Linked DNA regions of Rattus norvegicus. The protein of the gene in region 1 purifies or fractionates together with the protein of each later gene. This does not show direct contact. Links are inferred from orthologs where the notes say so. Each region holds a gene or a part of one and is shown in the gene's direction. Other genes may lie near its edges.

Region 1 (16,251 bases):
TGACCTAAAGGCCAGCAGCATAAAGGACCAGGCGGCCCCACAGCTGTGGCACCAACACTGCAGAACTGTGAACTCTTCACCTTGTCTGCAGACATACTTGGGCCTTGGGGGACTGATACCTCAACTCTATTGCCTGTTTTTACTTCCAGGTCAAAGTCTGGGACTGCCTCACAGGGAAATGCCTTGAGACCCTAAAGGTAAGGCACCAGGGTCAGTACCAAGACCCTTGCAGAGTGACGGGTAGGACTCACTAACCTGACTCTGACACTGTGTTACTGACAGGGCATGCTGGATGTGGCCCATGCCTGCATTTTCACTCCAAATGGCAAACTCTTAGTGTCAGGGATTGCTGACGCGACAAGATGACAAGTCTGCTGAAAGTCAAGAACTTCATCCATGTAACTTACCCACAGGCCTAAGGTAACTAAGCCACCAGATCTCCAAGGCAGGGACTACCTAGCCTATCCCGTAAGGTGGTTGTCACCTGCTGTAGGCAAGCGATCACCTAACCTCACCCCCTGGACCCTGGGCGGCCAGTGTCAAACAGGAAGCAGAGAGCTCGTCAGTTTTGGACTTTATTGTTATTGTCGTCGTCTCAGGCCTTGACTGCGTACTTGCGCAGTGGGTACAGCCGCTCCTTCCGCTGCTGCTTCTTGGTCTTCAGCTTCTCTTCATGCTTGGTGAGCCGGCGGCGCATGGCTCTTGTCTTCTTGGGTCGCAGGTCCAGGGGCTTGTACTTCTTTCCCTGGGACAGAAATGACAGGGTGAGCCTGAGCACTGGGGGCTCCTGGGAAGATGTGGAAGCAGGTGAGCACACAGGACACAAAGTTGGACTTCTCTGAGCAAATGGCAGGGCACTGAGACAGCTGGGGGCTGTCAGTAAAGTACCAGAGGGTGGTAGGCCTAAAATTTGCACACCAAGCTCCCCAATTTCAAGACTACAAGGGCCAAGAGGGGGCTAGGCTTCAGTTTTCCTATGCATCACCTAGTGACTAAGTAGAAAGTCACAGCACAATGGAAAGGGCACTCCACACACACAGGCTCTGTGTAGCTACTGCCTGGCTGACCCACCAGGCATGGCTCATCAATGCTCTAGGTAACACCGACCACAGAAGGCTTGGTCAAAGTCACCCTGAGCTGTTAAGGGAGCTCTCACTTTCCTCTATCTCCTAGCCCTTCCCGGGTGTTCTAAGCAAGACAGTCCCTTAGTTCCCTCAGGGACCAGGTCCTGTGGGTCAGATCCTTACATGATAAGGAGAAGCAGCGCTACCAAGAATTTCAAGAGGCAGCAGCCTCCAAAACAAGCTCAGCGGCCTGCTGAAAATGTGTAACTGGGCTTCCTAGGAGTGCCTACTCCTGCCTGCAAAGGGGCAGGCACAATGGGTTCACATCCCCATGCACCAAGCTCCTGCAGGTGGACAGAGGACCCTAGAAAGCTCTACAGGATAAGGTGAGGAGCCACACCAGGCAGGCTTTCAGTCATGTCAACGTCACTTATCCACTTAGAGTTCTCTCCACAGAGCAGCCAAACACACCTATGTCCTGTTCATTCTCCAACAGTGTGAACAGATGGCAAAGATCAAGTCTAAGTGTCCACACAGCACGGTGCCTTTAACTCCAGCAGCTAGAGAGGCAGGCAGAGGGGCCTCTGTGAGTTCTAGATTACCTGGTGTAAAAGCAAGCAAAAACCCAGAGCCCACCCTGGTTCTTTGTGGACTGGAGGTAGTTCAGTGCAGGTTTACACACTGATGTCTCCGGACAGACACACAGACACACTGCTGAAAAGCCACATGTGTCAGCACTAGCAATGAAGCACAAAAAAGTTCAAGGTAAGTTCCACTGCTCAGGGGTGAGGTAAGGTCCCCACACATCAGTACCGAGTGATAGGTATCTTGGCTCTAGCATCTCCGAAATTAAGAAACTGTACTTCAGACGTGTCTAATCCAAAATGTCCCTCCTGGGCGGTTGAGTCACACCACAGACAGACAACTTTCTGACATGCCAAACCCCAACATTAGGTAAAATTTGCAGAGATGTAATTCAAGACACCACCAGATGGCTTCAATTAAGTGGGATTATCTTAAAATGACATGGCTCCCCACCCCAATCCTTCTGGAGACTAGCTAACTACAGGAGTCGATTCCTAGTAAAAACACGTTAATCTGAAAGCACTAACAGTTATGACAAACATCTTGCAACCACCCAGCAATACTCTTAATGTCCTCACGATACGGTTCTGAAGAGAAACTTGGGGGGGGGGGGTCCCTGTCTACCAACTGTAGGTGTCCATGGGTAACCCAACCTCCAAGTCTTGGAACAGAAGGTGCTTGGCTGTGAGACAGACATACTGAGACAGTGAGACACACTAAACAGCTAGCTTCACCTCAGGCTAGGGTCCCAGTTTCATCTACCACACAGCTGAGCCCAAAGCTAGCGCCCAGTCCACCCTCCCTTCTGACCCTCTGACACCAAGAATCCATGTCAGTCCGGAAAGCTGGTAACTGTGCAAACTCAGCCAGAGGGCCCAGTCTCCCAGTGCTCACCTTGTAGAATTTCCTGAGGTTTTCCTTTTGAGTCTGATTAATGACAGTGAGGACACGGGCGATGGATTTGCGTACGACTCGTCTATAAAAATAAACGGCAGTGAAGATCAGGCAGGCACGTACAACTCAAGTCCCTCCTATCACCCAGGAGGTAAAAACCCCAGAGGTAAGGACAGGTTTGTCAAGAGGTACACGTGGGGACTTAACGCAGATTCGGCAACGAGGAAAGACCTTTACACTCAGGCCAAAAACTGAGGCCATGCCTTCAAGTGTTAAGTAATCACAAATTGAAGGTTCAGGCCGACAACAGTTGATTTTGGTCATGGTGATGACAGATCACGTCCGTGACTGGAACACATGGTCTCAGCACATATTTTGTCTCTTGCAAGCCTCCCCTGGTCCAGTCTCACTACAACCCATGTGAGGGGGCACCACCATGGCCTTTTCAGGAAGGCCCTACTCTCTCACCCAGTTCTTCGCCAAGGACAATTGGGGGGAAAAGACGCAGGCACTAAGGCAGGGAAAGCCCCAGCGAGGGCCTCAAGGACCACTTACATCTTGGAGAGCTTGGACGCGGCGCCGCCTGTCACTTTGGCCACGCGAAGCTGGGACAGTTCCACCTTCAGATCATCCAGTTGTTTCAACAGCTCCTCCTTCTTCTTGCCGCGCAGGTCCCGAGCCTTAATCTTGGCCTGCATGAGAAGCGTCTCTGTGGGTCACTGAGCGGGAGCTCTCGCTTCCTTCGCGGCCGACCAAGGAGGGACCGTGGCCGCGGCGCAAGCAAGGGTAGGCGGTCAGAGCCGGCCCGAACCAGGCACAATCATACAGATTCGCAGGCCCTGCGGCTCCCTGAGTCCCCCACGCCCGCCCCGCACCCCGTGCCGCTGTCCCCACGTGTTCCCGGCGCCCGATGGCACCGGATTCCCTTTGCCTCACCATTGCTGCGCTGTTCGCGGATGAGGCCGCCCGGTTCGAGAGAAAGAGGAAGGGGCGGGGCCGACTTCCGCCACTATAGCCACTGGTGCCGAGCGCAGCCAATAGCGTTGCGGCGTGGGAGGCCCTTTCTGCCTGTGCGCAGTCGCGTCAGTGGTGCCCTCCGCTTCCGGGGAATTCTGCGGTACTGAGGTTGGCTGGTCTCTAAGCAACGCAGCTGGGGAAACTGAGTCTCCGGATGAGCAGCTCCTGGCTGGCTGAAGATAGCGCCGTGAAGGCTGCAGTTCTTCCGTTAACTTGCATTTTCGGGAAGCCTGAAGTTCCCTGGTCTGTGCGGGTCTGAGCTAGCCGCGGGTCGTGTCAGGGAGCGGAGGGCTTGAGATGTGAGTTTCAGACAGGGTCTCACCTTAAATCCCTTCCTAATGCTTAAAGTACAGGCGTTTACCACAATGCCCCGTGCGAGTGCGAGAGAGCGAGCCAACTAGCATGTTTGGAAGTTAGAAAACAACCTGTGGGAGTTTGTTTTCTTCCACCGTTCGGCGCTCGAATGCAGATGGTCAGGTTCTACGGAACCATTTCGCTATCTTTTTTTTTTTTTTTTTTTTAGTACAAGGCCTCTATATATACCCTGGGCTTGTTTCGTACCCAAGTTTGGCATCGAAAGTTCGACACCACCTGGCAAGGGTCACAATAGAGTCAAACTCCAGCAAAAACTGATGGAGACGTAGTACAAATCTCATCCCCAGATTTTTTGGCATTTCCGATTATTGCTTTAGGTCTGGGCATGGAATCAGTCTTGTGACTCCAGCGCCCAGGCAGTGGAAAAGGAGGATCCGGAGTTCAGGCCTCCTTCATACCCTGATTGTATGAAGGATTCCAAGACGTGCTGAGTTTGGTTCCGTGGTAGTGTTTGCCTGGCTTGCACAAAGCTGTGTCCAGTCCCCGGCAGCTGTTATATGAGTAAATAAAAACTCCGAAACAAAATCAGAGCCTTGCTTTATTGCTAGTACTAGTTGATCTTGGCGAGTCCCTTCGCGTCTCTGTTAAGTGTATTTTTTTGAGGGTTAGAGGAACTAAACAAAACTTTCGAAGCTCCCAGCTAAGACCTGATAGGTAAAGATCGAGGAAAGTATCAGTTGGTATTAACATGGTTAAAGAGCACATAGCCCTTTACCCACAGTCCCAGACAGACCACCAGCATGTAGATCAGAGCAAAGCAGACTAGATGTTAGGTTTCAGTAATAAATGACCAAACTGACCAATCAGAGCCCTTTTCTTTGCCAAGCTCTTGCAGCTGCCCTTTTCCCATCAGTTTCTCAGCTGTTGTTCAAGACATGATGCTGATAGCCGACCAGGGACTCAGGGTACTGTAATGAACATTTTTTTAGTCACCACCCACCCCAAGAGTAGCAGCCTAACCTTGTATCCTAAGTGCTCTTACGTACCAAAATGAGTTAAGCCATGTGTTTGTGTGCCTGTTTCCAGAGCCAGTCTTGAAGGTCTCTGAGGGTTTAATGCTCTCTAGGCCCAGGATGTGGGTCCTGCTTGGATAGAATGAATTAATAAGCCTTTTGTAAGTGGGATAAGAGGAAATGAGCAGAGTGTGGATTAGTTTTATCCTTTTTTTTTTTTTTTCGGGGAGCTGGGGACCGAACCCAGGGCCTTGCTCTTGCTAGGCAAGTGCTCTACCACTGAGCTAAATCCCCAACCCTGTGGATTAGTTTTAAATGGAAGTCTAAAGATACAACTTACCAGATGATCAGGATTCTACTAGAGTTATGATTATACATATTTCTGGAAATTTTTTGTGGTGCTAGGATTAAACCCAGGATTCACAATGTATTTTTAATTCCCAGTGTATTGGGGTTACATCCTCATATTTGAAGACAAAAACTTATAGGTAATTTATTTTTACATGGCACATGCAGTGCCAACAGACGTGACTGGATCACCCTGGAGGTAGAGCTGCTATGTAGATGCTGGGAACTGGGAACTGAACCTAGGTCTTCTCTAGGAGTAGCAAGTTTTTTGTTTGTTTTTTTTTTTTAATTTTGAGACAGTTTCACTGTGTAGCCTTGGCTGATCTGGAACTATGTAGACCAAACTATCTAGAACTCACAAGAACCTCTTGCCATTGCTTCCTAAGTGCTGGGATAAGAGGCATGTGCCACATTACTGGCTGTGTGCAGCAGGAGCTCTCCAGCCTGGGACTTGTTCTGAGGCAGGGACTCACTAAATGCACATAGATGGTTGATCCTCTTGGCTTAATCCGGAGAATCAGTATTAAGGGAGTGTACCACCACATCAAATTTCATATCATGATTTAAAATCCTATCTGCCAGCCACTGGTAGTACATGCCTTTAATCCCAGCACTTGGGAGGCAGAGGTAGGTGGATCTTCAGAGTTTGAGGTCAGTCTGGTCTACAGAGCAAGGTCCAAGACAGCCAGGGTAAAACAGAGAAACCCTGTCTCAAACAAAACAAAAATCCCTTTTGCCTGATGAACATCCATGAACACAAGCTAGAACATTATTTCATTCATTAGTTTATTTGAGGCTATTTACCTGTCAAACCAGTATTTCTGGTATTAAGTTCCTTCTGACCAAGATGTTCTAAGGGAGGGACTGGAGTGATGGCTGGGCAGTTAAAAGCACTTACTGCTTTTACAGAGGACCTGGGGTTCCATTCCCAATAACCATAAGACATGGTGGCTAGTAACCATCTGTGTAATCCCAGTTCCAAAAGGATCCCACGTCCTTTCCTGGCCTCCAGCAGGCAATACACCCAGGTGGTGCTCAAAAATACTTGAAGACAAAATATTTAAGAAAAATAATAAAGTTGTTCTGGGGATATGAATTCCTGCTATCTTCTGATTAACTTGCGCCCCTATTACTTCTTAGGTATGAGGCAGGACTACATTCAGGATCTGAGTCTTTATTCAGCGTGTACTTGCCCCCATGGGAGCTTGCCTTTAGCATCCCAAGGTTAGGGTGCATCAGCCTGGAAGTTTTTGATTTGAAGTTAAAGGAGAACTATGTAAAGCAAAACCATGTTTCACCTGATTTTTGTTCGCGTTCTATTAGGTGAAAATATAATAGCTTTCGTATAATTACAAAAAAAAGGATTCATTTTAGCCTACGGTTGAAATAAAGAGAAACCAGCATCCCAAGCGTCCGTCCTAGAAGCCACCTTCCTCCCATCGAATTATGGGAATTCTGTAGTTTTCGCCTCCTAAAATGCGCCTCTTCAGTTAGGAGTACAGGTGGCCATGAGTCATCTTTATTTTCTGGAACGCTCGCAGGGGTCGGTACATCCTCAAGTAAAGTTGTTACCAAGCGTCCTGCCAGCCCCGGGTTATACATTAACGCCTTTAGAGCCGTTTAGTTTTAACAAAGAAGTCCCTTGTGGGTCAATGCGGTTAGTGTTTAAGAGACTCCGGCACTGCGGTTCACTACCACTCATCTCCATCAGCTCATAAACTTCTTCCTCCGGAGCGGACAGAGGCGGAAGATGTCCTTGCACTGCAGTCCGGCTTCTGGGACGACAGAGTTACGCCTGCAACCTCCGACAGCACTACACCAGCTTTCCACAGTCCTGCAGCGCAGCCCTGCCCACAAGAGTTTCCGGTTCCGGTGCATCCTGGAAGTGGGCGGGCGACGGCGGCTGCGCGCGGAGGAGGGGAGGAGGTGCCCGGCGGCCGCTTCCCGCCCCCAAGCGGAGCCGGTGCGGAGGGAGCCGGTACGGAGCGAAGCCTAGGCGGCTGGGCGGCCGCCGCGCTCCCGCCATGGCCCGGAACACACTGTCCTCACGCTTCCGCCGAGTGGATATCGACGAATTTGACGAGAACAAATTCGTAGACGAGCACGAAGAGGCGGCGGCGGCGTCGGGCGAGCCAGGCCCCGACCCCTGCGAGGTAGACGGGCTCCTGCGGCAATATCCTTCCCAGCGTGGCGGCCCGGCTTGGCCTTCGCACCCTGATCACCCCAGCCCCAGTCCCGGTCCTCCGGTCTTCCGCCCCTCCCCCCTCCCCCTCCGGGCTCCTGCCAGCCCCAGGCTCCCCGGGTCCGTCGTTGGTGGCCTCACGCCTTCTCAGCAGCACGGCCCAGGAGCTCGTCTCACTCTCGGCCTTGCTCTGCATCCTTCAGGGTGACTGTGCATCGGCCTTGGTATCCCTTTATCCCTCCTTGTAGTAAGCGGGGTCATTCCCGGGTGCTGGTCCTCAAGAGGGACCGAGGTGAGCCACCTTTGATTCATCGGGCAACCAGGGCCACCTGCGCTTGTCTAACTGGCTTTCTTGGGCCCGATTGCAGCCCAGCACGAAAATAGGTGGGTGGATGGTTGGAGGAAGACTGACTGTAGGGCGGAGGTGGGGGAGGTGCAGCTTTAGGACCATCCCACAGGTGTGGTATTGCCTGCTACCTTTTCTCGCCTGTCTCCACTTACCACAGCAGGTTGGGGTTTGGGCCTTTATGGGCCGAGTACATTCAACAAGTAATGCGACTCTGCCATTAGCCGTCTTGTGCAGAAAGCGTGGAAAAAGCTAGTGATTCAGAGCTAAAATACACCATACAGTGTCAAGTGTAAAAGTGGCTCCCTGCGACTGAAAATGACTGCTGGTGGCCACAGAAAACAAGCATTTATAACAGAAGAGTAAAAATAGAGGTGATTGTCACAGCTGGCTTGGTCTCTTAGCAGTTGGAGCACCACAGGAAACTGATTTATTCTCACAGGAAGATTTTTTTCTTTATTCAAATAGCTTGACAGGAAGTGTGTACCCCTCCCCCGTACTTGCCAGGATAGGGTTGAAAGCTCTTGCTGTATATAAATCAGGTTTAGTTGACTCAACCTGGGAAGTCAGGTGTACAGCTTTTGGGAGGAGTCCTGTAGTGCTCCTCTAATGTAGCTTGAAAACAACCCTTTTAGACTGAACAGGAATGTGTTTTTCAAATGTGGATATTTCAAACTGGTATTTCCTGCACCATTAAGTTGGTTAAAATTGGGTCATGAGAAGGCCCCTAGAGGGAAGACTGGTTTATGTGCAGTCACTGTTGACAAGGCAATGTATTTGGGCCAGAATCCTAAGTATATTGATGAAGAGGCTGGGATCTGTCAGCTGCTGCCTTGGTATTGATGCTGGGACTTATTGAAGGCCCTGACGGTTTTTTCTTTTCTTTTTCTTCTGTTTTTGGAGGTAGCTTAGAGGCACTGGCTTAGCTCATAGAGGAGATGGCTTCTACACTCATGGCAGTGTCAGAAGCCTTGTTACCATGGAGAGAGTACCTCTTGGTATTGGGAGAAGAGAGGCTAGCAGATTAGAAGTGAAACCCTAGCAGGATGTTAGGCCCAGGTAGGGAGAAGGATCATTGAGTCCCTGTCAGGTGACAATCATTGCATTCAGTCTATAGAACCTCATGTGAGTCTAAAGGGAGAATAGCAGAGAGATTTGGGGGATGTTTGCAGGTGGCGGTCTCAGGGCTGTGCTGGGAATTGTCATTGTGGAAGAGCAGAATGTGGGAATAGAAAGCCACTGTGTGCTTACATGGACAGACAGAGTCTAACCTGTTTTAACTGCTGCTGACCACATACCCTCTCAACCCCAGCACTCTTCTTAAACGATAGAGACAACTGTGTTGGTCTTACCGCTTCAACGGGAGCATAACTGAACACACACCAGATATCCTCCAAAACTTGGGTCCAGGCTGTAGTAGGGGCAAGGGATGGTAGAAAGGGCTTGGATTTGAAGGTCAGCTCTGAATGTAGCTTTGTGACCTTGGGCAGGTAATTTCCCCTCTGACTCAATTTCATTGTCTTTAGGGTAGAAGTCAGGCTCTTGTCCTGGAGGGTTTTTAGAATAAGGTGAAATGTGACTGCATCTGGTCCTGGGTCCAAGACCTCCAGGGAGAATTTTTCCTCCACTCCAGCAGTTTTAAAGTACCACTGTAGCTCATTTTCTTTCTTGGGAAACAGCTTCCCAAGTAGGACTGTAGAACAGTGGTTTTGAGTGATTTTGTAGTTTTTTTCACCCCACCCCAAGGAAATCTGGCAATGTTTGGTGATATTTTGATTATTACAGTTTTGGGGTATTACTGGAAACTTTAGGGTAGAGACCAGGGAGGTTGCTAAATTGCTCTAGGGCCATGTCTGAGAATGGTCTATAGGGTTCTTCTGTTACCATAGCCTGTTCTCTGAAATTATTGGCAGCCATCTGGGTATGGAGGCCAGTTTAGTAAACATTGTGTGATTGTAGAGGTGCCTCTCTGCTCCCCATTCTACCCAGCATTTGTGGGCCTTTGGTTGTCTGTGGTTGCTTGGCAAGCTGCAGTACCGAGTCTAATGTTTTCATCCTTACAGACTAATTGTATCATTTCTGCCCTTCCCTATCTATTTTGTGAATAAAATGACTGTTAGTCCCCATGTACTGTTAGGTTTATGGGACCTGCTTATTGCCTGGGGATACCAAGTTAGAAAAGTTATGGGGTGGAGGGTTATCAGTGGCTTTATCAGGACTAGTCCTTGTTTGTCTGAGGAAAAAGGAATCCAAAACTAAAGATAAAGAGTAGGGGCATCTGTCTACCCTGTAAGGTAGGTGCATTCCAACATGGTGAGGGAGTGACTTGCCTGGTGGTACAGACTAGCTTTTCAAGATGGCACTCACTGGGGAAGCTGGGAATTCAGGTTTGCACCAGAGGCTAGCTGTTCACACATGGGCATTGCTGCATGGACAAAAGTAAAGACCTGATTGGGCAGAGTCATTCCTTGTTCTATTTTTGAAGCTTTTTGGCTTAAGCCAGTCTTTCATATGAGGAAATGAAAGTTGGCTGATGTAATTCAGTTTAAAATAGGTGTAACCTTTGGGGACATAACCTAGATTGCAATTTTCTTTTGTGTGCTGGTTATTCAGAACTCAGCAGTGAATGTGAAATTAGGATTCTATCTAAGGTTTGTGGGGAAAGGGAGCAAATGGCTCATTTTGTGGGCCAAAGTGATGCCATGCTGAATTGCAAGATAGACAATCCCCTTCCCACCTTGAGACGGGTTTTAACCTTGTAGCTCTGGCTGGCTATGAATTGGCCTGAGTGCTGAGATTTAAAGACATGAACTACTAGGCCTAGCCTGCAAGGTATACTTGACATACTTGATTTCTTTTGATTTCAGTTTGATAAAAGACGGAGTGAGAATGTGTTTATGTCTAGCCTGGTGGTGGTAGTGGTGCACACATTTATTCTTAGCACTCAGGAGGTAGAGGCAGGTGGATCTCTGAAGTCAAGGTCTACAGATGAGCTCCAGGACAGACTGGTGCATACAGGGAAATCCTGCTTTGAAAACAACACAGAACTATTAAGATGTGTTTGTTTCTCTTCCCTTTTAGGATGAGAGAGTGAGAGCTCCTTGCAGTCGACTTGTGCAGGAGTTGCCATGAAGATCCTGTAGAGCTGACAGTGCCTAGCACTAAGGATGTGCAAGTCGGCTCTGAAGGGACTCTGGCAAGCATGGCTCTGGCAGGCCTTGCCCTTGCTAAAAACAGTTTGCATTCCTGAAGCTAGCCCCTAAATTTTATTTGGCCTTATTTGGCTACTTCCTATTTTTGAGGCTGAATACCAAGGCCCCAGCTATCAAAGTACTGAAGTCCAGCAATCAAAAGCCCCCTTTGGCTCACCTAATTAACATGCCAAGTTAAAATGAAACACCTCAACCTAACATGGGGTTTCCCATTTATACCTTTATTTTTATTTTTGGAGGGTTTCTTTGTATAATCTTGACTGCTCTGGAAGTCACTGTAAACCAGGCTGGCCTCAAACTCAGCAATCCACTTACCTCTCCGGGGATTAAAAACATGCACCACCACTGCCTGGCCCATTTTACCTTTATAAACCACCATTTTCCTATGTATCCCATCTGTTGTCTCTATCCAGAGACAGCCCTTGTTCTCTGGGACAAACCTTTGCTCCCTTTCCCTGGCTTCTTTCCCCTTCTCTCTCATCTTCTCTCTCCTATGTTTGTCTCTTATTCTCTGCCCTCTGAGGCAAATAAATCTTTGTGCTGAGAACTCAGTCTTGGGGGTCCTAAGCTAATACTCTTCCTTTCAGGCTCTATTAAATTCTAACACAAAAGAGAGCAGTTTCTTGAGGAGGAAGCTTTAGGGAAATATTTCAGGAAGAGCTTGCAGGTTGGCAGAGGTGTCATCTACTCCTTCCTGTGACTCAGGAAAAGTCAAAACAATAGCAGCCTCTGCCTGCAAGAGGCCAGCAGGAGATAGTGGGTGGTATGGATAAGATCCCTGTAACTGTTCTTGAGCTGTCTGTGGAGTGAGGTCATTAATGAGAGCATGGACATTTTTGAGCCTAGCCATCCTTAACTGGCTTTGATGCACAGGGGACATGCTTCGGGCATTCCATGCAGCCTTGCGGAACTCTCCAATCAACACCAAGAATCAAGCTGTGAAGGTAAAGAGGTTGTGCTGCAGCTGTCAGGACCAGGACTTCGTGTCCTTAGCAGCAATTTCAACTCCCTGGCGTCTGGACAGTAACTGCATCACTGGGAGTGTGCTGCTACTTGGCGTTCCCTTTTCACCGAAACCACTTGCTATTTCTCAGATACTGGTGCAGTAGGTAGCTTGATAACTTTGTAATCTGTAAAGTGTAAGGCTTTGTTGATGTATCAAAAGTAGTAATGCTTGAGACTGGGCTAAGCTCAGTGGGTAGAGGGCTTGCCTAGCATATGTATGGTCCTGGGTTCAAGCCCTGACATCATATAAAGTCATATTACCTATAGTAAATCACTTGTTCTTTCCACAGTAAGTGGAATCACTTATTTGTAAAAATAAGTGAAATTTAAAGCCAAAGATGTTTTATCTCACCGATGTAGCTGGGTTGAATTAAAAAGGGTTGGTGTTTCTGGCATGTTTTGTCTATTGGTTTCTGTCGTGTTAGGATTGCAGCTCCTGGCCTTACTCACTTTTTTCTTCCTTTGTAGGAACGAGCCCAGGGTATAGTCCTGAAAGTACTCACAAACTTCAAGAGCAGCGAGATTGAGCAGGCTGTGCAGTCACTGGACAGGAATGGCATTGACTTGCTAATGAAGTACATTTATAAAGGGTTTGAGAAGCCCACAGAAAATAGCAGTGCAGTGTTACTCCAGTGGCATGAAAAGGTACGGACTGCATTGTTCCATTGTAGCTTGCACTTCCCCCAGGGTTCACACTAGGAGGCCAGACTCAGAACAGACGCTGGATGGTCTGGTGGGTCTAAACTTTGACACTGAATGTTCACCTTACCCTGCAAGCGCCTAGTGAGGATCTTCTAACACTCACAGTCATATTTTTGCTTTTTACCTGTGGACTTTTAGGCTAGGCAGGACCAACTACCCTTGATATAGGACAGAGGCAGGTGGTATGGTGAGGTAGGATGGGGCTTGGTGCCTCATTATGTCTCTTTTGCTTGTGGAAGAGAGCTGCTGAAAAGGAGTTTTTGAAGACATCTTAAAACTGCAGGCCCAGTCTCCCTACCAGAAGGAGCAGTTGGCAGAAATTGGAGTCATTTATTATAGCTTTCATTCACTGGAAGCAAAAAAATTTTTTTTGTCCTTTACTTGAAGGATAGAGGACCAAGGCATGTGTCAAACTTTTGTCCTGTCTGTCAGCTGCACACCACCTGCAGCCCTGTAACACTTCAGTAAATACACCCAGCACTTATGGGTTCCAGACTGATGAACACAGTTCTTGTCAGTGGTTCAGCATGAGATAAAGTCTCATGTAGCTCAGGTTGGCCACAAATTTGTTTTTAAATTGGGGATGACTTTAAACTTTTAATCTTAATGTAGATAGAGATTGCAGGCATATAATACCATACTGAATTTTACATGGTGCTGGGGATGGAATCCTGGTCTTAATGCTTGCTGAGAGGATATTCCACCAACCGAAGTACATCTCCAGCCTGAGATATTTTTCCTGTGGTAGAGACAGAACTGGGGTTCTGGTATGTGTTAGGCAAGTGATCTTGTATTGAACTATATCCCTTGGCAGCGCTGAGTTTTTAAGAATGCTGTTTTTACTGGTAGGTCAGTTTCCAGCAAAGTGTTGGGCTGTGGCTTCTGGCCCTGTTGGGGTGCTGACTTTTTAAGCTTCATCTTTGCTTGGGTTCAGGAATTGCTGTTGGTGGTGAGACGGTTAGGCCTTTTCAACCCTGTGAGGTGCTTTTGATGTCACCCTGTCAGTAGGTAGTTCTCTATGGGCTGCCATGTGTTTCCAGGGATAGGCAGGTGCTGGCAGGTAGAAGCAGAGCATGTTACAGGGAAACTCAGGCTTTGTTGGATGCTTGGGGACAGTGATCCCAAGCCAGTTTTATTGCTTCAAGAGCTGTAAGCTTTTGGGACCCTTGGCTCTAAGACAGGGCTCTCCCTAGAACTTGATCTCTCTCAGCAAGCCTGTGACATGGTGGGATTGAGGTCTGGGAATATGTGTCCTCATCTCCAGGTGAGTGAAGCTCCCTTCTGGCCAGTCAGGTACCATTTGACGTGTTTCCTTTTCCTGTCTCCACAGGCTTTAGCTGTTGGAGGACTAGGCTCCATTATAAGAGTTCTTACAGCAAGAAAGACTGTTTAAAAAAAAAAAAAGAATCCTGTTACCTTGAGAAGAATTTTGGATGCCCAGGCTAGTGAAGAAGGGACTGACAATGGACCATCTTCCTAGAACTCCCAACTAAATACTTCAGGACACATCTGCTGGAATGTATTTTACTTTTGAGGTGGAGGGAGAAATTGTCTTATTGATTCCTAAATTCTTTGCAGGACCAGAGTGTCTGCCTTTGTCTACAGAGTAACACAGAACCAACACTTGACTATCTGGCTGACTGGCCAGATTATGTGAGGTGTACCTGTGAGCACTGTCTGTTTGGAATGGGGAGGGACTATTTGGGCAGGTGCAGACCCAAGGGCTGTGGTGAAAAGGAGAGCTTGGGTTCTGAAGTGGAAAAAACCTGATGAGAGTTTGTACAGACATCCTGTCTTCTCAGAGAAGGCAGGCTCTCTTGGGTTCATTGTAAAGTGCCTGCTGCATCAATAAAGCTCTTGGCTTATTAGTCTATTCATTGAAGTGTGTTCTCTGTATGTTAAATGGTAAAGAAAGGGATAGCAATGAATGATGACAGTTTGGTTTGGAAAGCTGATGTCCCTGTCCTGCCATCCTTGGGGACGGGGAAAGCGAGCATGGTGATACCACAGCTATGCCATACTTTAACTGCAGTGGTGCTGGATGCTACCGAGAGACATTTTGCTGAGTGTTTATTTTTCTTACTCTTTTGATTTGTATGTAATTTTGGAGCTTATTTAATAAAGTGCCAAACCTTTAATGATTGAGGCTTCAAAAGTCATCCGTTTGTGTGATTACAGATGTAGCCTGGGCAAGTTCTGGTCACTGTCTCCTGATGTAGGGTCTGTTCTAAACCCCAATAATGGCAGTCAGCTATGAGCCCTAAAGCAAGTGCTCCTGAGCATCACAACTGCAGCTTAAATGCTGGCTCAAGTGCACCGGCCCTGCCCGTCCTAGATCCTCTGTAGAACCACTCATGCTTGAGAGGTAAAACTAGCCCACGGGGCCATTAAATCATATTTATTCACCTTTAATCTGAGGAGCTTGCTTCCTTTTGAAAGAAACATCTGTAGTCGTTGAAATATGATAGTCAGTACAAAGCTGAATCTCAGCACTTGGGAGGCAGGTGGATCTGAGTTTGAGGCCAGCCTGGTCTACAGAATGAGTTCTAGGAAAGCCAGGGCTATGCAGAGAAAGCCTGTTTCAAAAAAAAAAAAAAAAAAAAAAAAAAAAAAAAAAAAACCAAAACAAACAAACCCAAAGACAAGATTTGACAGGTCAAAATAAACACATCTCAAACTTTTATCAAGTAAAACTCACTGTAGTTGCATCTTGAAGAGCTTTAATCAAAAAGTATTGCACCACAAATAACTCTGCTACAGCAGTTTTTAGATAGTACTGTTCCTATTTACATTGGTAGTAAGATCACAGTCCAGTGCTCATATATAAAGGGCTACACACTGTCTCTTACCGAAGTTTATAGAAGTGCATGAAGCCACTTGAATGGCTACTGCACTCTTCTAGTACTGGAGGAGCTCAACATGCAGCAGGAAAGCCATTCTAAATAAGTGGGCCCCACAGTCACACCGCAACCTGCAGGCAGGCAGAGGTGTGTGTGTGTGTGTGTGTGTGTGTGTGTGTGTGTGTGTGTGTGTGTGTGTGTGACAGAGACAGAGACAGAGACAGAGACAGACAGACACATCAGATCATGGGCCTGAGAAACCTCAGGTGTAGAAAGGGCTTCCACAGCTGGAACTGCAGCTGCCTGGACTGCTCAGTCCTCTGGGATTTCTTACCTGGGACAGGAGGAAGGGAAGTAATCCTACTTGGAGAAGCTACTTCTTCCTCTGTAAAATCAACAGTGGGGCTCTGGTTTCATGTCCCACTAAATGGGAAGTGGCACCCTAAAGGGAAACTTCTGTAAGAAGAGCCACAGCCGGGGCTGGGGATTTAGCTCAGTGGTAGAGCGCTTACCTAGGAAGCGCAAGGCCCTGGGTTCGGTCCCCAGCTCCGAAAAAAAGAACCAAAAAAAAAAAAAAAAAAAAAAAAAAAAAAAAGAAGAGCCACAGCCAAAGCAATGCCATCCCGATTTAGATTTAGAAGGCAAATGCTGCAAATACTTGGGTTTTTGTATAACACATACGCATGTACGTACATATGTTGACTTGAAGCTGAAGAACAAATTCACCT
Region 2 (16,251 bases), on another chromosome or scaffold:
AATAACATCTCTAGCGAGCGCTGGGAGCTTCTAAACATTTCCAACAGTTACTGCCTTTGCAGGCACAGGACAAGCTTAGCTATATGAAACAGAATGTTAGCTGTTTCCTCTTGTCTTTGAAAAGTATTTACGTTTACTTTACTCTCTCTCTCTCTCTCTCTCTCTCTCTCTCTCTCCCTGTGTGTGTGTGTGTGTGTGTGTGTGTGTGTGTGTGTGTGTGTGTGTGTGTGTGTGTACATATGTAAAAATCAGTTATCTCCTTCCGTTGTGTGGGTTCCAGGGATCTAACTCAGGTGATCAGGCTTGTCAGATGCCTTTGCTTGCTGAAGCATCTTTCTGCCCTTCCCCTCTTCCTGTCAAAGCTTTTTCATACGTGGAGGCCACATACAACTAAACCACAGAGGCCTCTGTAGTGGAAAGTACAAAATGGTAGCACACTGGCCAGTTATAAGGTCGCTAAGAAAGATTTATTGATGATCTGTCCTGGCTAGCTTTAACTGTCATTCCAGATAACCTAAACTCTTCAAAAAGGAAAGCCTTGTCATAGGAGTTACCTACACCTGACTGTCCTTCGGGCAGGTCTTGGCTCAGTGTCTTGGTGGTTAATTTATGCACGTGAGTGGGTCCACTGTGAGAGGCCATTCCTAGGCTGGTGAAAGGCAGCTGAGCATGAGTCAGAAAGCAAGCCAGCAAATGTGCTCTGTGGTTCCTGTTTCAAAGTTCCTGCCTTGAATTTCTGTCCTGACTCCCCTCAGAAATGGATCGTGGCCTGGAAGTGTAAGTCATATATACCCTTTCCTCTCCAACTTGCTTTTGGTTGGAATGTTCTATCACAGCCACAGAAAGAAAAATAGAACACTGCATTTGTCTATTTTTTTTTTTTTTAGTAGCTATACTAGAATACCCAAACTTTTTTTTAAGAGCAGAAGATTACTTATCTGCTTCGTCCTACCAGGCTTGGGGCTCAGAACTCTGGGTAGAGGAGTTGAGGGAATGAGCAGAGGGCAGGCAAATACAATGAAGCTGGGATCAGGTAGGCTTCTCTGTTATGGCCACCACCTGGAACCCCACTTAGTCTGTTCATTAGGTACAGCATGGGAGGCAGGGTTAGCTGGCCGATGCAGAGACTCCTAAAGGGTCAAGTGTTGAGACTAAGTGACTGTTGAGTGCTTCCCTTAATTTGGATTGTTGCATTAACTCTGTCCCTTCCCTAAGGCTCGGGGAACATTTTGGATGACGGAGTAGAAAGACTGTGAAGTCTCGAAGATGAGAAGAATGCTGGGAAATAGCATCTTCTGGACATCCCATGAACTCACCGACACCGTGGTTACGTGCACAAGATCAAGCCAGCAAGTTATGTTAACATGCCATCAGGGAGCACTGATTAAACTCAGAGGGTTACAAAAATCAAATAAGAGAAAAAGGGACAGAAGATAAGGAGGCACTGTTTGGAGGCGCCAGGGAGGAAAGGTATGAGGAACTGTGGGTAGAGACGATCAAATAAATAAAATACATTGCATTGAAAAGAAATGAAGAGGGCTGGAGACGTGGCTGAATGTTTAAAAGCATTTGCTGCTCTTGCAGGGGACCCAAGTTCAGTTTGCAGCAACCGTATTATTGCATGGTTCACAACTGCCTGTAATTCCAGTTCCAGGGAATCTGCCAACCTCTTCTGGCCTCTGTGGATACCTCATGTGGTACACATACACAGAGGTATATATATATATAAAACAAAAAAAGATGAATAATAGATAAAGCTTTAAAATGAAATACAGAAACCAACTCGAAGACAACAGTATTAATTATTCATGAGGGCAGAGCCCTCAAAACAACCTTTAACATCTGCCTTTCCATATCACTACCTGGGGGTTAGCTTCCAACATATCCACTTCGGAGGATAAACTCAAACAACAGCACTTAACAAAGAAACACAGATTTCAAATTTCTCTTGCGAGGAAGTCTCTGGTAACATGAGGCTTGCATTCCCACATAGCAACTGCCTTCTGTTCGGTGTGGGTGCTATGTGTTGCCACATCTTCTTGGTGGCCCACATCGCCCATCACAAACCAAACCAGAACTGGAAGTTTCTGATCCTTGGGTTGGGATGTAGTCCAGCTGGCAGTGTGTTTGTCAAACAGGCGTGAAGCCTGGATTTAAACCTCACCTGCACATAATCGGGGCATTGAGGCACACACCTGTAATCATAGCAGTTGTGAAGTGTGGACAAGGAAGATCATAGATTCAGGGTAATCCTTGGCTACACAGTGTGGTCTCCTTTAGACATTGCATAAACAAACAGAACAACAAGCAAACAAAAAGCTAAAAGCTTCTGGCCTTTGTTGTAACTACTTCTTGATAATTGCCCAAGACTAGAATATTGGAAAGTAATTTTTGGGACCTCAAGTCTCAGCTCCACTTGTTGACAGTTCGAAGTCCCTTAATGCCACACTTAGGAGAACTTTGGTAGGATTTTTTTTCAATCCGACCTAACTACCTTTAACTGCTGAATACAGCCTGTCCACTTACACTGAGTCACAGCTTGACTCACTTCTGTCCAAAGTGCTCTCTCCATACCCCCCCCCCCCATGACCCTGAAGAAAACCAGTCATGGGAAAACCGTTTAGCATCTTCTAAAATGTATGGGGGAAAACCAGCAACGAGGCATCTGAAAGAAGACCCACTCTTCTTGCTGGACTGCTGTGAAGACAACATCTCACACCTTTCCCTTAGGGCTACTTCAGATGAGCAGCTGTGACTACACTCACTCCATAGTAACTGATGCTGCTGTCCTTCTGTACATATCAGGTCCCAAAGAAAGGCTGGTCCTTCTGCTTTCTACCTGTGAACCATAGAACACAATGTACCCCCCCCCCCATGCCACTGTATCAGCTCTAAACAAAGCAGATGACAAGTCAAAACATATGACTCTCACCTCAGAAGGCATACTAGAGTTTATCTTGGAGCCAAATATGAGTAACTATGGCCCAGGAACACAGACTTCAATGACCATTAAATTTGTGTTGCAAGTTAGTAACAGTCTCAGGATGTTTTTATAGTAACAGAACAAAATAAGTCATAAATTAGGATTTTCTTACACACACACACACACATATTGGTGGAAACATTAGAGATGTGGCTTTCAGCAAAGTGGAGGAAATATCTGTGAGGCCTCAGATAATGTCCCAGTGACACCCATACCCTTTTTTGGTTCATGGAACCCCGTGATCTATTACGTTAATCTATTCTAAAAGGTTTCACCTGTTAGTTGCAGCATGTTAGGACACATGGACAAAGTAATTAGGTCCTGGACCTGTTACATTCCAAACTCTCAGTCAGTGAAGTTCTAATTAGTTAACCGGCCTTCCAGAAAGTTCCATATAAGATGCTACTCTTTCCAGAAAGTTCAGCTCTCACAGCCAAACCTTTTTTTCCTAGTTCTTTGGATAAGTTGCTTTGGGATAAGCTTGAATATGCTTAGAAGTCTCTACTGATGTCTGCACCATCCTCTTTCTCAGGGTTCCGTTTTCATCACATCCTCTTTGGCTGTCTTCATTTTAACCACTGAGGGGAAGAAGTTAGACTCCCCTCCCCCAGTGCTGCCTCAGGTCAGATACTTGCATTTTCTCTTCTTGGGGGCCTCCCTCCCTCCTTTCCTCTGTTTCTTAAGATCTGTGGCCGAACCACTTATGCTGTTCAAGTGTGACTGCTCCGCTGTTTTCCAACCCTTCACCCGTTCCTCACAGTTCTCAGCATTTTTTGTGATTCCTAATACAATCTGTTTTTCTACTCATGGGCAGAACTCTGAGATCACACCTCTTATCTATACTTTGCCCCACTATATTAAGGGTCAGTATAGTCTCTGCCATACAGAGCAGGTGAGAAATATTTTTCTGTCAAATTATTAACAATAATAAGTGGAAAGTCAATATTTTACCCCCTCGGGTCAGTTTGCCACCTGATAACATAATATTCTGTATTGAATAAACACATCCTTTCTTAATGTATTATTATTGTCTTATATTAGCAAACCTAGATTAGCCTGTTCAAAATATGTTCTCCAGTGCAGTATGGCACAGAGGTAACGGGGGTGACCAAACACTTCTGGATGAGTTCTGAGGCCTGCTCTTCAGAAAGGAATTTATGTCTAGTATGCTAAACCTGTCCAAAAGGCCCAGGGCTTAGGAGGTCACAGGCTGTATAGGGAAACCTGTTGCCCTACTCAATAGACCTTCTAAACATTGATATTTCTACACAGAGACTGGAGCTGTCCTTGGGTGGAGAAGTTTCTCTTTGCATTAGTTAGCAGTTAAAGCAGATACAAACCTGGCCTGAGTGCTGAGGTCTAAGTGACTACTGAATGCTCAGCCTTATATGGTCCATCTGTATCGACCTTCACCACTACACAAAGCTGAGGGAGCATGGAGGAGGGGGTGGGGAGAATAGAAGAACCAGAAGATGCTGTCTTCTGGACGTGACACAGATTTTGCAGGTATGACATTGCAGTTACCGTCACCTTAAGATCAAGCCAAGATCAGTCAGTGTTTCAACAGACCAGACTGATGGGATGCAGTGGATTACATAAAACTAAATAAAAAAAAAAAACAAAACACACACACACAAAACAGAGGGGGCATGAAGGAAGGAGGAGGAGTAAAAGGACAATGATGAGGAAGAATACATTGGGATATCCAGGGGAGCTAGAGAGAGGGTTCTGGGAAAATTCAGTCAAGATACAGTGTTTACATGCATGGAAATGCTAAAGAATAAATAAAAGACAAGTCTGTTGGGGAGGAAAGCTGTTAACTTTCCAGGTTCCTGCTGATGAGAAAGTAAATTCTCAGGTTCTACTGCACATTGATTTTTGCATAATCCCCTGAGATATGACCTAGCAAAGCACTTTACACTTTCTACATTACTCTGATGTATTCAAGTTTTTAAAAGTATTGCCTTTTAAGTCTGTAATGTAAAAAACACATATCTTTTTCTTTCTTTTTTTTTTTTTTTTTTTTTTACTAGAAAAAGTTTCAAGCTAACAGTATTACACAGAAGGAAATCCATTATCACTCCAACCTGAATAGAGGCCAGGTACCTGCACAGAGTCTATAATGTAGAACACAACCTCTGGGAGGCTGGCCTTTCTTAAAGGCCTGAGACAATCTCACTACTCTTGGAGGAAGTTTATCATCACCCCAAAACCCAAATAAAGGCCATCTGTGCAGGCTATGTAGAACCTCTGGGAAGCTTATTTTTTTATTTTTATTGTTTTACATTTTCGTGTGAGGGGGAGAACGTGTGCAAACTCAAAGAACAACTTGTGGGGGTCTTTTCATTCCTTCCAGCGTGTGCACCTCCAGGGATCAAACTCAGGTTAGTGAGTGCAAGCACCTTTACCTGATCCAACACTTGCCTTCCTTGATGACACAGAGGAATCCCCAAACCCTGGAGAAGGTGGGTTTGTTGTTACTGTTTAACCTAACGTCTTGGATCCTTGCCTTCTTAAAGGCAGAGGCCCACCATTTGGGTGAGCTTTGAAACTACAATGTAATAGTATAACTGACGTAAATCTCAGGACACAAACCTTTGTTCATCTCTTTTCTGACTGCACACCTAGAGCGATCATAGGGGCATGCTGCTGACCACGTTTCCCCACAGTAGAGAAGCCTTCTGTTCATTCCTCAAGTTAGCAGAGAAGAAACACACACACACACCACTACCAAAAGCCAGCTTCATAATTAAGTAACTGCCTGACTTCTCGGCTTTCACCGGCCAGAAAATGTGAAGTGGAATATTAGCAAGTTGGAACCGGAGCCTCGACCCACAGCTGCACACCACTGCGCATGTGCAGCCGCTTCGGAAAGCATTAATGCTTAGCTTGGCTACTGGGTTTCTAGCTATCTGAAAACCCAAAGTGGAGTTTCTGGTTATCTGGAAGGGAGCCGAGGCCCGGCGGTCGCACATTACAGCGCGCGCGCGCACTCGCCCCTCCCACCCGGAACCGGAAGTGGGAGCGATCGCGGCCTGGGGCCTGGCCTGGCCGGGGCGTCGGCAGCGGCGGCCATCTTGGCTACCCGCGGAAAGGCAGTGTGAGGGGAAGAAGTTGTAGGGTGGGGGCGGGAGTGAGGAGGAGGAGGAGGGCCGAGAGCGGAGGGGTGGAGGAGGAGGCCGCGGCGGGGCAGGGCGGGGACAGCCTGCCGGCCGGCCAGCCTGCTGGGCTTGCGGAAGTACTAGCCTACTGCTCACTCGCTACTGCTCGGGCTTCCCACAGCTCCCTCCCTTCCTCCCTCAGGACCGAGGGCGGCCCAGGCCAGTGCATGGTCAGCTAGCTCACATCTCTATCCCCGGCCTCTTAGCAGCACGGAACGGACGGCAGCGGCGGGCGAGGAGGAAGATGGCGGGACGGCTGCCGGCCTGTGTGGTGGACTGTGGCACGGGGTACGGCGGGTCTTCTGGGTGGGGAAACTGAGTCTGGGGACAGCCGGAGGAGGGAGATGAATGGGGTGAGCCGGCCAGACTGGCGACGGGTGGTGCCGGGAGCCTCCCTGGTTCGGTCGCTTCAGCCTTCTGGGACGAAGATCTTTTCAGGCCCTTCCCTTCTGGGAAGGCCGTCTGGCCCACCTGGCTTTCCTTTCCCATCTCTCCTCTTCCTGCCTGTGAACTAGGGGACTCTCAGGGAATCTCCAGGCGTAGGACCAAGGGAAAAAAGAGAAGCGCTCCTTGCGGGTTTTGCAAGATCGCGGTGACAACCCTCAATCTCTAGGGCGTGTGGGTGGGGAGAGCGGAGAACCGGGCTGTGAAAATGGGAAGCTAGAATGGGGGCTTTTGCAGAGGACCCACGCGCCGCCTCTTTTCCGCCCACACCCATTCTTAGCCATCTCCCACTACCCATTGAACCAAGTCAGTTCCAGCGAGGAGGATCTCATGGGGTTATTGCTCTTGCCTCAAAAAAAGTCCCTTAGTGAGCAAGCGCGCTGCAACTTCCTTAGTTTTGTCAAAGCCGCTTCCTGCTTTCCGTCTTTTATAGCCTTATAAGGTAGTTTTTCGTCTCCAACGTTAACACGTCTTATTAGAACTTTCAAAATTAAGCAGGTTGCATAAAGAGTAGATTATGAGTGCTAGGTATCAGTGTGTTTGAACTAAAAAAAATGTTCTTGTGTCCATGGAGGGAGATAATGGGGAGGAGAAGGGACGCACCCTGGAACCTAAACATTCAGTTTGGTTTGTGACTGTGTCTTGAAAGCTGAAAGGAGATAGAAAGGAATGTGTTTGATTAAAGCAATTGTTTCTGATAGTAGTGTGGTTGGCTAAAGTGACTTTTAAAGTTGTAGGTTTGTATTAATGAACCTAGTCAAGAGTTAGAACTTGCTCTGTGTGGTGACCTAGAGAGACGACTACATTTTTTACGCTGTACGTTGCAATACTTGGTGGAGGAAGAGGCCTGTCTGATCTCGAATCCCCCAAACACATAAGTGGTTTTGAGGACAGTTGCCAACCTTTTTCCTCTTATTCACCCTACCACAGTTATTTAAAGGATGCCTCTTCCACGACATTAGTTAGTTTGTATAAATCCCTCCCATCTTAACTCTCTGCCTTTACATGTAATTGTTAGGCAGCCGGAAACAACAAAACACTTAATTTTTTATTTCTTGGAAAACACTAGTTTAGCCTTGGAATTTCTATGTATTTTCTTAGTTGACATCGTATTAAAGTTAGATTTTTTCAATCCGGTCTCACCCTCTTGAAGTGTTTATATATGTATATTTAAGTTTATCTTTTCGTAGTTTAATTGATGAGTACTTGGATGTTAGAGGGATTTTAAAAATTAGAATTGGCTAGCGTGAATAGGATTTTTCAAGTGTATTTTATTGAAGTGACAGATAGTGCTATGTAGTGCTTCATGCTTTAGAAATCACTGTCAGTAAAGCCACATAGTCATTGATCACTGTATAAATAATGCCGTAGCAGCTTAAGGAGGATGCGTCTTTAATCTTTTTATGTATTTATTTTCCTCTTTTGAAATGCAGTTTTGGTTATTTTTGAATAAGTAGTAATTGGTATCTCATTGAACTTAGCTGTCCTTAAGTGACCTTTTTTTCTGAAAGGGCAACCTTGAATTAAAAACACATTTGGAGTGACCAGGAGAAGTGATACAACTTATACCTAGGCTATTTCTGTCTAATATCTCAATTACTAAACCATTACATTGCTATATTGTATATTGATCTCACCTTACAAAGAGAGGTTAGCTGTATATTCATTTATGATATGGGTGAAACTGATTAAAGTCACTTTCTCTATTCAGTGTTTTTACCTTTGCTCACAGTCTGAATTTCCCAATTTGTAGTTTTCTTTATTTTGCTTCTGAAGGTTTTGGGTGTGTCATCCTCTCCCCTGCCAATCCCACCAGTTGGCTCTACTAGACAGCAGTTTAGAGACTCTCACCTTGAGCTTTATTAGAAAAGTCCTTTCTCAGCGCCCAAGATAAATAGCATGTCCAAAAATGACTAGCAGGGAGTTTTACATCTGAAATAACTGTTTCCCAAATGCAAAATGTACCCCTTTAATTTGTACACCCTCCTCCCCCAGTCAATGCACTCACCTCTTAGGTCTCCACAATTACTCTTCTAGAGTAAGTGGACCATTTATAGGTTGTCCATCCCATTTCATTAAAGAATTTAGGCAAAAAGTGGTAGTGTGTTAAACTTGATGGCAGGCTTACAAGCTGTAAATGTTAGGACACATGAGATTTAATTCTAGAACTTTAAATTAAGAATCCTACAGCATAATTCATCATCACCACCTAGGTTGAGGTCATGAAGTATTTTTCAAATACTTAAGGAATTAAGAAAGAAATACTTCCTTCATATCTGTATCACCAGGTCAACATACCTTTTTGGTCCCTATTGGCCAAGTATTGTAGAATAAAGTTCTTGTTCAGAGACAAAGATGTAGGGCTTGGAAATGTAGCTAGGAAAAGTGCCTCATTCTCATGCACAAGGCCTGCTTCAGACCCCAGTCAAACAGGCTGGAGAGCCATCTCCAACGAGAAAAGCAAGTTTTAAAGCTTCAAAAGGATGTAATGCTCCTGTAATAAAGTTATCCTAAGATAGTTTCAGTCTGCCTGTTTCACTCATTTTTCTATTAGGGCTTTTCTTTGCTCGATGTGTTTTGTTTTTACTCAGAAACTGCTTTGGTGGCTTATTTCCACTGATTAAGTAATAGTTAATATACAGTCTTAGTTTACAAGCCTCGGATATATTTATATACATTACAGAATTTCTCAGATCTACCTTTTTTTTTTAAAGCAGTCTTCCAACTGTAAGCCCAAATCATTTTGTTTGCTTTGGTGAAAGTAGATCTATATAACATCCTGTGGCCAGGTCCTAGAAGTTAAAGACAAGGATGAGTTTGAGAGCAGTGGAAGCCATGGATGAATGAAGGCATACTTGAGAAACTTGACATTCTTGCTTGGATTCTCTTCATAATGTGTTATGAAGTATCGAAGGCAGGAGCATTCATACTATCTTGATAACACATTCATTACAATTCTTCTGGTTGATAGCTTGTGTTTGGAGCAGCAGACATGCTGCTTTTGGGAAGCCGAAGTCCTAAGTCCAGTTGAAGTACGCATCGCATGCTGACTCTGCCATGCTTTGTTAGTGACCTTTAAGTTTATTGTTAAACACAGTTTAGAATTTTTATTTTCAAGATTAGAGTGGAAAGGCTGGCCACTGGTGAACCTGATGGCCAGGATTTTAACTTGTTCTATCTTATTTAACTTGTGACAGCTTTTTTTTTTTTTTTTAAGTTAGTTAGTTAGTAGCTGGTGGACTTGGTGCTTGAACTTAGTTCTGTATTTAGGCCTGTAGGGTTCCTTGAGCCTCCTTTCAGAAAACTGTACATCACTCTGTTAGTGAAATTAATCCAGCTTAATTCTTGCTTACAGTACTATTGCAAAAATAATCCTACCCTATGAATTCGATTCAATTAACTGGTGAAATTTTTTTTTTTTTGTCTTTCTTGAGGTTTATTTTTTTCCCTGAAGATTTGAATTTTTAGACTATTTCCTTGTTCCTTTAAAAAAAAGACTCAGGTTTAGAAGTTCTCAGGAAATAGAATTTCGTGAGAGCCATGTGCAACACCTGTGGCGAGTGCCGTGCATCAGCTCCTCACCTTCCTCTTCGCCTTAAGCAGTGCTGTTCGTGTTATGTAGACAGGAACTTAAGTTCCAGGTTAAACCACTTCCCTGGGGTACAACCTGGAGCCTGGAGGACCAACCACTACAGTTTTTGATAATTTCAGTATTTTGAGTTGGAGAGGGATTAATTTATTCACTAGTTACTTGAGGATGGTCGAAGTTTACTTTATACTTCCCAGTAAACCACTCTTGGACTTATACTTATCTGATACATTCTGCCTTCATGAATTTTAATCCTAATTTAAAAAAATTTAAGGTTATGGGTTTCACATCCTACACTCCACTCCCACTCATCTCCGGTCCCCCGTATCTGCTCTCCACCCTTGCAGCCTCCCCTCAGAAACCCTCCCCCCTCCCACACAAAATAAACAAAAAGCATAGAAAACATTCTGTAGTAAAAGCTCTAGTGTGTCACAGTGTGTCCCACAGTATACCCCTCTGTCCGCACATCTTTACTTGGCGAATGTTCATTTTAGTGTTGAGTAGTGGAAATCACTGTGTGACTCCAACTGCCCTTGAGCTTCCAATGATTCTCCTCCCTCAGGTTCTTGAGTGTTGGGTTTACTGTTGTGAGCCACCACAACCAGCTAATACTGGCAGCTAATCAAACGTTAAATGGGTGCTTTTCAGATAGTAATAGCTGTTTTCCAGGTTTTATGGGCAGTAGTGATTGTAGTCAGGAAGTCAAGCAAGCTGTAATGAAGGTCAGATTTTAGTCTTTTCAAGGAGCTGGGTAGCTGCACAGGAGAGTATTTTACAAAAGGAAGGAAAGAAAAGTGTGTTTGTGCAGAGTGCTGATGGGAAGTGAGGCTGCTTGCCTGCTTTTTGAGTTTTAGGCTGCTTGATAACAAAATGTGACTTTATATTTTACACTATGAACTAATGTTCATCCAATACTTGTGTACCAGGTTTTATATTTCCACAAAATTTTGGTTGCAAAAGAGTTCTAGTTTATAGGGACCCCAAATTCCGAGTAATAACAATGCTGAAAGCGCAGCTCTTAGATCACTCACTGCACTGCATCTAAGAAAGAGGGACAGGGACAGGACTGGGTGTACAGCGGCAACTCCGATCTGTGTTGAATAGTCTCCTGTTTTTCACAGTGAATGGACGTGAACAGGAATTAAGATATGCCTTTGTTTTTGATCTTTATTTTATTTTTTTGATTCCTAGATGAGTTCCATGTAGCCCAGGGTGGCCTTGCATTTCTGTCTTCACCTCTTGAGCAAACACTAATGTGCTGGGCTTGCACTGCCACGCCTAGCCTAGTTAGTATGGTTTTAAAAAACTGCATCAGAGATACTCTATACACAGTGTGTGGATTCTTAAGGATTGGGACTACCGCTGTGTGTTCCAATGGGCTTCCTAGATGATTCTATCCTTGTTTGTTGAGACCAAGTCTCACTAAAACTCAGCCAGGCAGGAGCTTATGTGGCCCAACTTAGGGCAGTCTTCCCATCTCAGTCGTCTAAGAGTGGGGATTGCAAGTATGAACCAGTATGCCCTATTTCCTAGATGATTCTAAAGCAGCCCCAACAACAGCTTTGTTGGTAGATATTATATAGTAGTGTACAATTTTGCAGTTGGCTACTGGTGATAGGGATGGAGTGGAAGGTAGAAGTTTAGAAGACTGCTGCTTTTGTCTGTACCTTCCCTTTCACAGTTGCATGCTGTTTTTGTGTGGCTTGCAAGGACTCTGGTCAAGTGTTTAGAACTTAATTCAAGCTCTGCGCTAGAAGGACCTTTGACATAGAAGTGCTTTGGACACTTGGAGTCCAGGAGCTTTTACTTTTCTCACTTATGATTTAGCAATTGTAATTGCCTACCTTACTTTTATCATGGTTTGTTGCAATTATAATCATCAGTTAGCTCCCTCTTATTATTTTTTGAATTAAAGGGTTTTAAGGAAAAAGAACATCATATCATGTTTTGTGCTTATTTTCTTATCTCACACAGACCTTGGCCTGCCTGCTGTAGTTCTGGGTGCAGTCAGAGTGGGTTTTTGCTTCTCTAAGAGAATGGAAGGATGTACTGCTAGGATTTGGAATTAGGAATGTAGCTAGAAGAATGAGGATTTCAAGATTGTGACCTTGATTGATTAGGATAATATAGGAGTTAGGTTTTTGCATGTTTGTTTGTTTTGTTTTAACATTTATTTTTGGGGGTGTGAATATAGAGATCAGAGGACAACTTTGAAGTAGAAGGAGGTTTTCTTCTTCCACCATGTGGACCCTAGGAATGAAAAGCCTCTATCTACTGGACAGTCTCTTCTGCCTAGGAATTAATTTTAAGAATCTTTAAATTTGGAGACAGAGAGATGGTTCTGTAGGTGAAGGCACTTGTACCTAGCCTGACAGCACACACTAAAATCAATGTTAAAAAAAATTCCACAACAAAAGAACCAGTAGAATTAGAATAGTTGTATTTGTAATGCTATCTGTAGCTGGCCATGTATGTCCTTGAAGAATGAGAAATACAGGTGCTTCCTTAAGTCAGACATTCAGAAGTAAATGGTAGCAGTTTGTAGACTGAAGCTAATGAAATGAGAATTCAAAGAGAAAAGAACAGAGAGATTGAGTATCAGTACTTCTTTAATACACAGTGTGAAACAGCTTTTGGAAGGTCATGATGGGAGCCAGAGAGCCAGCACATGTGGCTTGTGAGTCATCATTCTATTTAGTCCTGTTTTCTAAGAGGAGGGGAATATCTTTACAGTTGTGCTAAATCCCACTCCCCAACAAGTGACAATGGTTAAAATGTTAGCCTGGAGGCAGATGTGTGAAATGGCTACAATGTAGCTTCTAGCAACATTTCCTGCAACAGAGTTCCTCTAATTAATAAAAGCATTCAGTGTGTGTAACTCTATTGGAACTTGTTAGGGTTATAATGACACTACCTGTGTATAATAGGCTTATGCAGAAAGAAGCAAGAACAAACAGTTAAATGCTAACAATACTACCAAATGCACTCTCACCCACCACGCCCTTAACTATTCATGAGTTAGGCAGTGTAATATAGGTGATGTTACTGTTATAGATTTGGTTCTTTATAATAAAGGTGATGATATACTTTGTATTTGGTTGTATAGCTATGTGGGCCTTTAGATCCTAAGACACAAAAATGACATTTCATAATATCACTGGAGCAAAAATGATAGATGACATTCTTATGTTCTTAAGAGGTGTTTTGTGAAATGTTAATGACTTGTTGTTGTTTCAGTTTTTCTCCCAAATCATTCTTGATCCATGCCTTAATTTCAGCTTACTAGCCTTTTCATCCCAGTTCTTTGAAACCAGTAGAGGAGTGGCAGTGAGTTTGTGTACTGTGTGTCTTCTTCGTCCAGGTTCCTGAACACTCAAGAGATGTGCTGATGCAGAACATTCCTTCATTTTCTTCCTAAATGCTTTTGTTTTCTTTTTAGAAGATAATTTATTTCAGTTACTACCTTATAGCAAGCTACACAGTGTTAAGTATAAATAAAGGGTTTTTAAGAAGAGAGATTTAGAATACAAAGACCTTATATTTAGGCTTGATTTTTAAACTGTGAAAATGTAAACTTTGTTTTTGGTATTAGTTGAAACCAGAGAACAAATACTTGCTTGTTTAAAGTTTAGAAATTATTATGTGTCTTGTAAGCTTTTTTTTTTCTTCAAGAATTCATTTACTTTGTGTTACTTTCATAAATTAAGTGAAATTGTGTATTTGGATGGTTTTCTGTGTCAACTTGACACAAGCTGGAGTTATCACAGAGAGAGGAGCCTCCCTTTTGGAAATGCCTCCCTGGGATCCAGCTCTAAGGCATAATGATCAAGAGTGGAGGGCCTAGCCCATTGTGGGTGGTGCCATCCCTGGGCTGGTGGTTCTGGATTAAAAAGCAAGCTGAGCAAGACAGGGGAAGCAAGTCAGTAAGTATCACCCTTCCATGGCCTCTGATTAGCTTCTGCTTCCAAGTTCTGCCCTGTGTGAGTTCTTGTCCTGACTTCCTTTGGTGATAAACAGCAATGTGGACGTGTAAGCTGTATAAACCCCTTCCTACCCAACTTGCCTCTTAGTCATGTTTTGTGCAGGAATAGAAACCCTGACTAAGACAAATTGTAATTTTTTTTTTAAAGATTTGAGTGAAGTACCTAATGATTCACTTAGAATTAATTATCGAGCTGAGCACTGCACTGAATGGAGTTATGTAGTAGGGAGAGCAAGCATGCATTACCTGTTAGTAGGTCTGAAGCCACAGACCTGTCCCTAGTGACAACGCCTCCAACAAGGCCACACCTCCTGTTAGCACCATTCTACTTCATTCAGGTAACCACAGATGTTGAATGGGTTGTGGAAATCCGCTTTTTCAAGGTCCTTTGTAAGTTTGTTTTTGAGATTGCTAGTCCTCTTTCAGAAACCTTACAGACGTATATACATTTTGTGTATTTACATTTTAAAGGTAAAGATCCTGAGGTATTGAGTAGATCTAGAGCAGTGGTTCTCAACTTTCCTATTGCTACCTCTCTTTGATATAGTTCCCCTTGTTGTGGTGGTGACCTGACCATAAAATTACTTCGTTACTACTTCATCATAACTGTGTAATTTTACTATTGTTAGGAATTGAAAATATCTGATATGCAAGATAGCTGTTGATATGTGACCCCTGTGAAAGGGTCCTTTGGCCTCCAAAGGGGTCGTGTTGAGAACCTCTGATCTAGAGTTTGAGCCCCAGGGTGCAATCCTTCCAGAAACTGTTCAGGAATATACTGTATTCAGTAAGTGGTTAAATTTTTAATCTAGTTTTAAAGAGAATTCTTAAGCATCCATCCTTGGAAAATAATTATCTTTAGAACTATTAAATCTAGTATTGTAAAAGCATTTTAATGTTGATTTTTCTCTATCCCTGGCTAACTCAAATGAATGAGACTGGGAGTATAAGATTTATATTTAATCAAGCTTTATGGCAACTGGCATAACTGGGAAGTTAATAATCTGTTCTGATCCTCTAAACTAATCTGGCTACCTCCCAGCCACGATCCCCAAGGTACTCGCATGTTAGGATTTGTCTGGCTCTCTGGGCTTCAGGTGTTCAGGTGTTTATTCAGCGATGTCTCTCCCCTTCCTCTTGGAGAATCCTTTCATCCTCCCCCTGCCTTTCTCCTCCTGGCTGCTAGAAGTCCAGCCCCATTTACTCTTCTGCCCAGCCATTGGCAGATCAGCTTTTATTGACAAGTCAGAGAATAAATGGGGATCAATGTTTATACAAAGTTCCAAACAGCGGATACTTAGACTAAGCATTACAGTGCCATGTCCTGATTGCAACAAGATAGAGGGTCAGGGAAATCAGCATTTGAGTTATGCAGGGGTCATCTTTACACAGCGCACTGTGACATTATGCCTACAGGTATGAACATGGAATGTGTAGACAGATTACAATGCAAGTTAAGTGACGAATCGTGTGTGGATCACTTCAGTATTCTCAGAATAAATATTGTATCTAATGGACATCTTGACAATTGCAGATTAATTTTAGATAGTTCGGTTAGGAAAATAATTTCTATTAGTTAAATGTTAAAAGGAAAACGACTCTATTTTTGCAGTTTGAGTTTGAAAGTGAGTATCTATGGGAACTGAGTGTGTGGTAGAGCACACTTGTAACTCCAGCTCTGAGGAAGGCAGGAGGAGGGTTACATAGTGAGTCTAAGGCTAGCCTGGGACGCCGGAGACCCTATCAATCCTTTATTGCTAGTGACCATACAAAATACAGTATGATACATAATCGAATTTAAGAAAATAAATTTCTTTGGAAAAAGAAAAGTTACCTAGACTCTGAGGCCTTGTTCTGTGTCTCTGAAATAATGTAGTTGAAATGAAACTGCTTAGTGAGTAGTAGGGCTAGATAGATGACTATCTGGAACACATGACATATTTGGGGCCGTTTTATCTAAAAAGCACGTGAAGTTCTAATAGAGACATGTTATAACATTTACTGTTCAAAAGTCTTTGCAATTTTGCTTTATAATGAAAGGGTAGTGGAGACAGCAAATAACTAGTAAAGACTGAAACTTTAGAACTCCTTT

What was found.
Region 2: the proteins of Arpc5l (region 1) and Actr3 purify together in Homo sapiens (affinity purification with mass spectrometry; 6 studies listed by BioGRID and IntAct, counting the BioPlex papers as one, with this or other methods). This does not show direct contact. The link is inferred for Rattus norvegicus from reciprocal best matches to the Homo sapiens genes ARPC5L and ACTR3.

The regions. Positions count from the first base shown.
Region 1 is NC_086021.1:43,162,401-43,178,651, forward strand, and holds Arpc5l (actin-related protein 2/3 complex subunit 5-like protein), read left to right. Parts: upstream 1-7,201; 5' UTR 7,202-7,260; coding exon 7,261-7,409; intron 7,410-7,621; exon of another isoform or gene 7,622-7,802; intron 7,803-7,848; exon of another isoform or gene 7,849-8,138; intron 8,139-10,845; exon of another isoform or gene 10,846-11,847; coding exon 11,848-11,920; intron 11,921-12,449; coding exon 12,450-12,626; intron 12,627-12,999; exon of another isoform or gene 13,000-14,013; coding exon 14,014-14,076; 3' UTR 14,077-14,824; downstream 14,825-16,251. Other genes in the region: Wdr38 (WD repeat-containing protein 38), read left to right, coding at 150-197, 283-366; Rpl35 (large ribosomal subunit protein uL29), read right to left, coding at 2,385-2,625, 3,099-3,235, 3,480-3,482. UniProt on the Homo sapiens protein: May function as component of the Arp2/3 complex which is involved in regulation of actin polymerization and together with an activating nucleation-promoting factor (NPF) mediates the formation of branched actin networks.
Region 2 is NC_086031.1:39,386,562-39,402,812, reverse strand, and holds the start of Actr3 (actin-related protein 3), read left to right. Parts: upstream 1-6,303; 5' UTR 6,304-6,388; coding exon 6,389-6,432; intron 6,433-16,251. UniProt on the Homo sapiens protein: ATP-binding component of the Arp2/3 complex, a multiprotein complex that mediates actin polymerization upon stimulation by nucleation-promoting factor (NPF).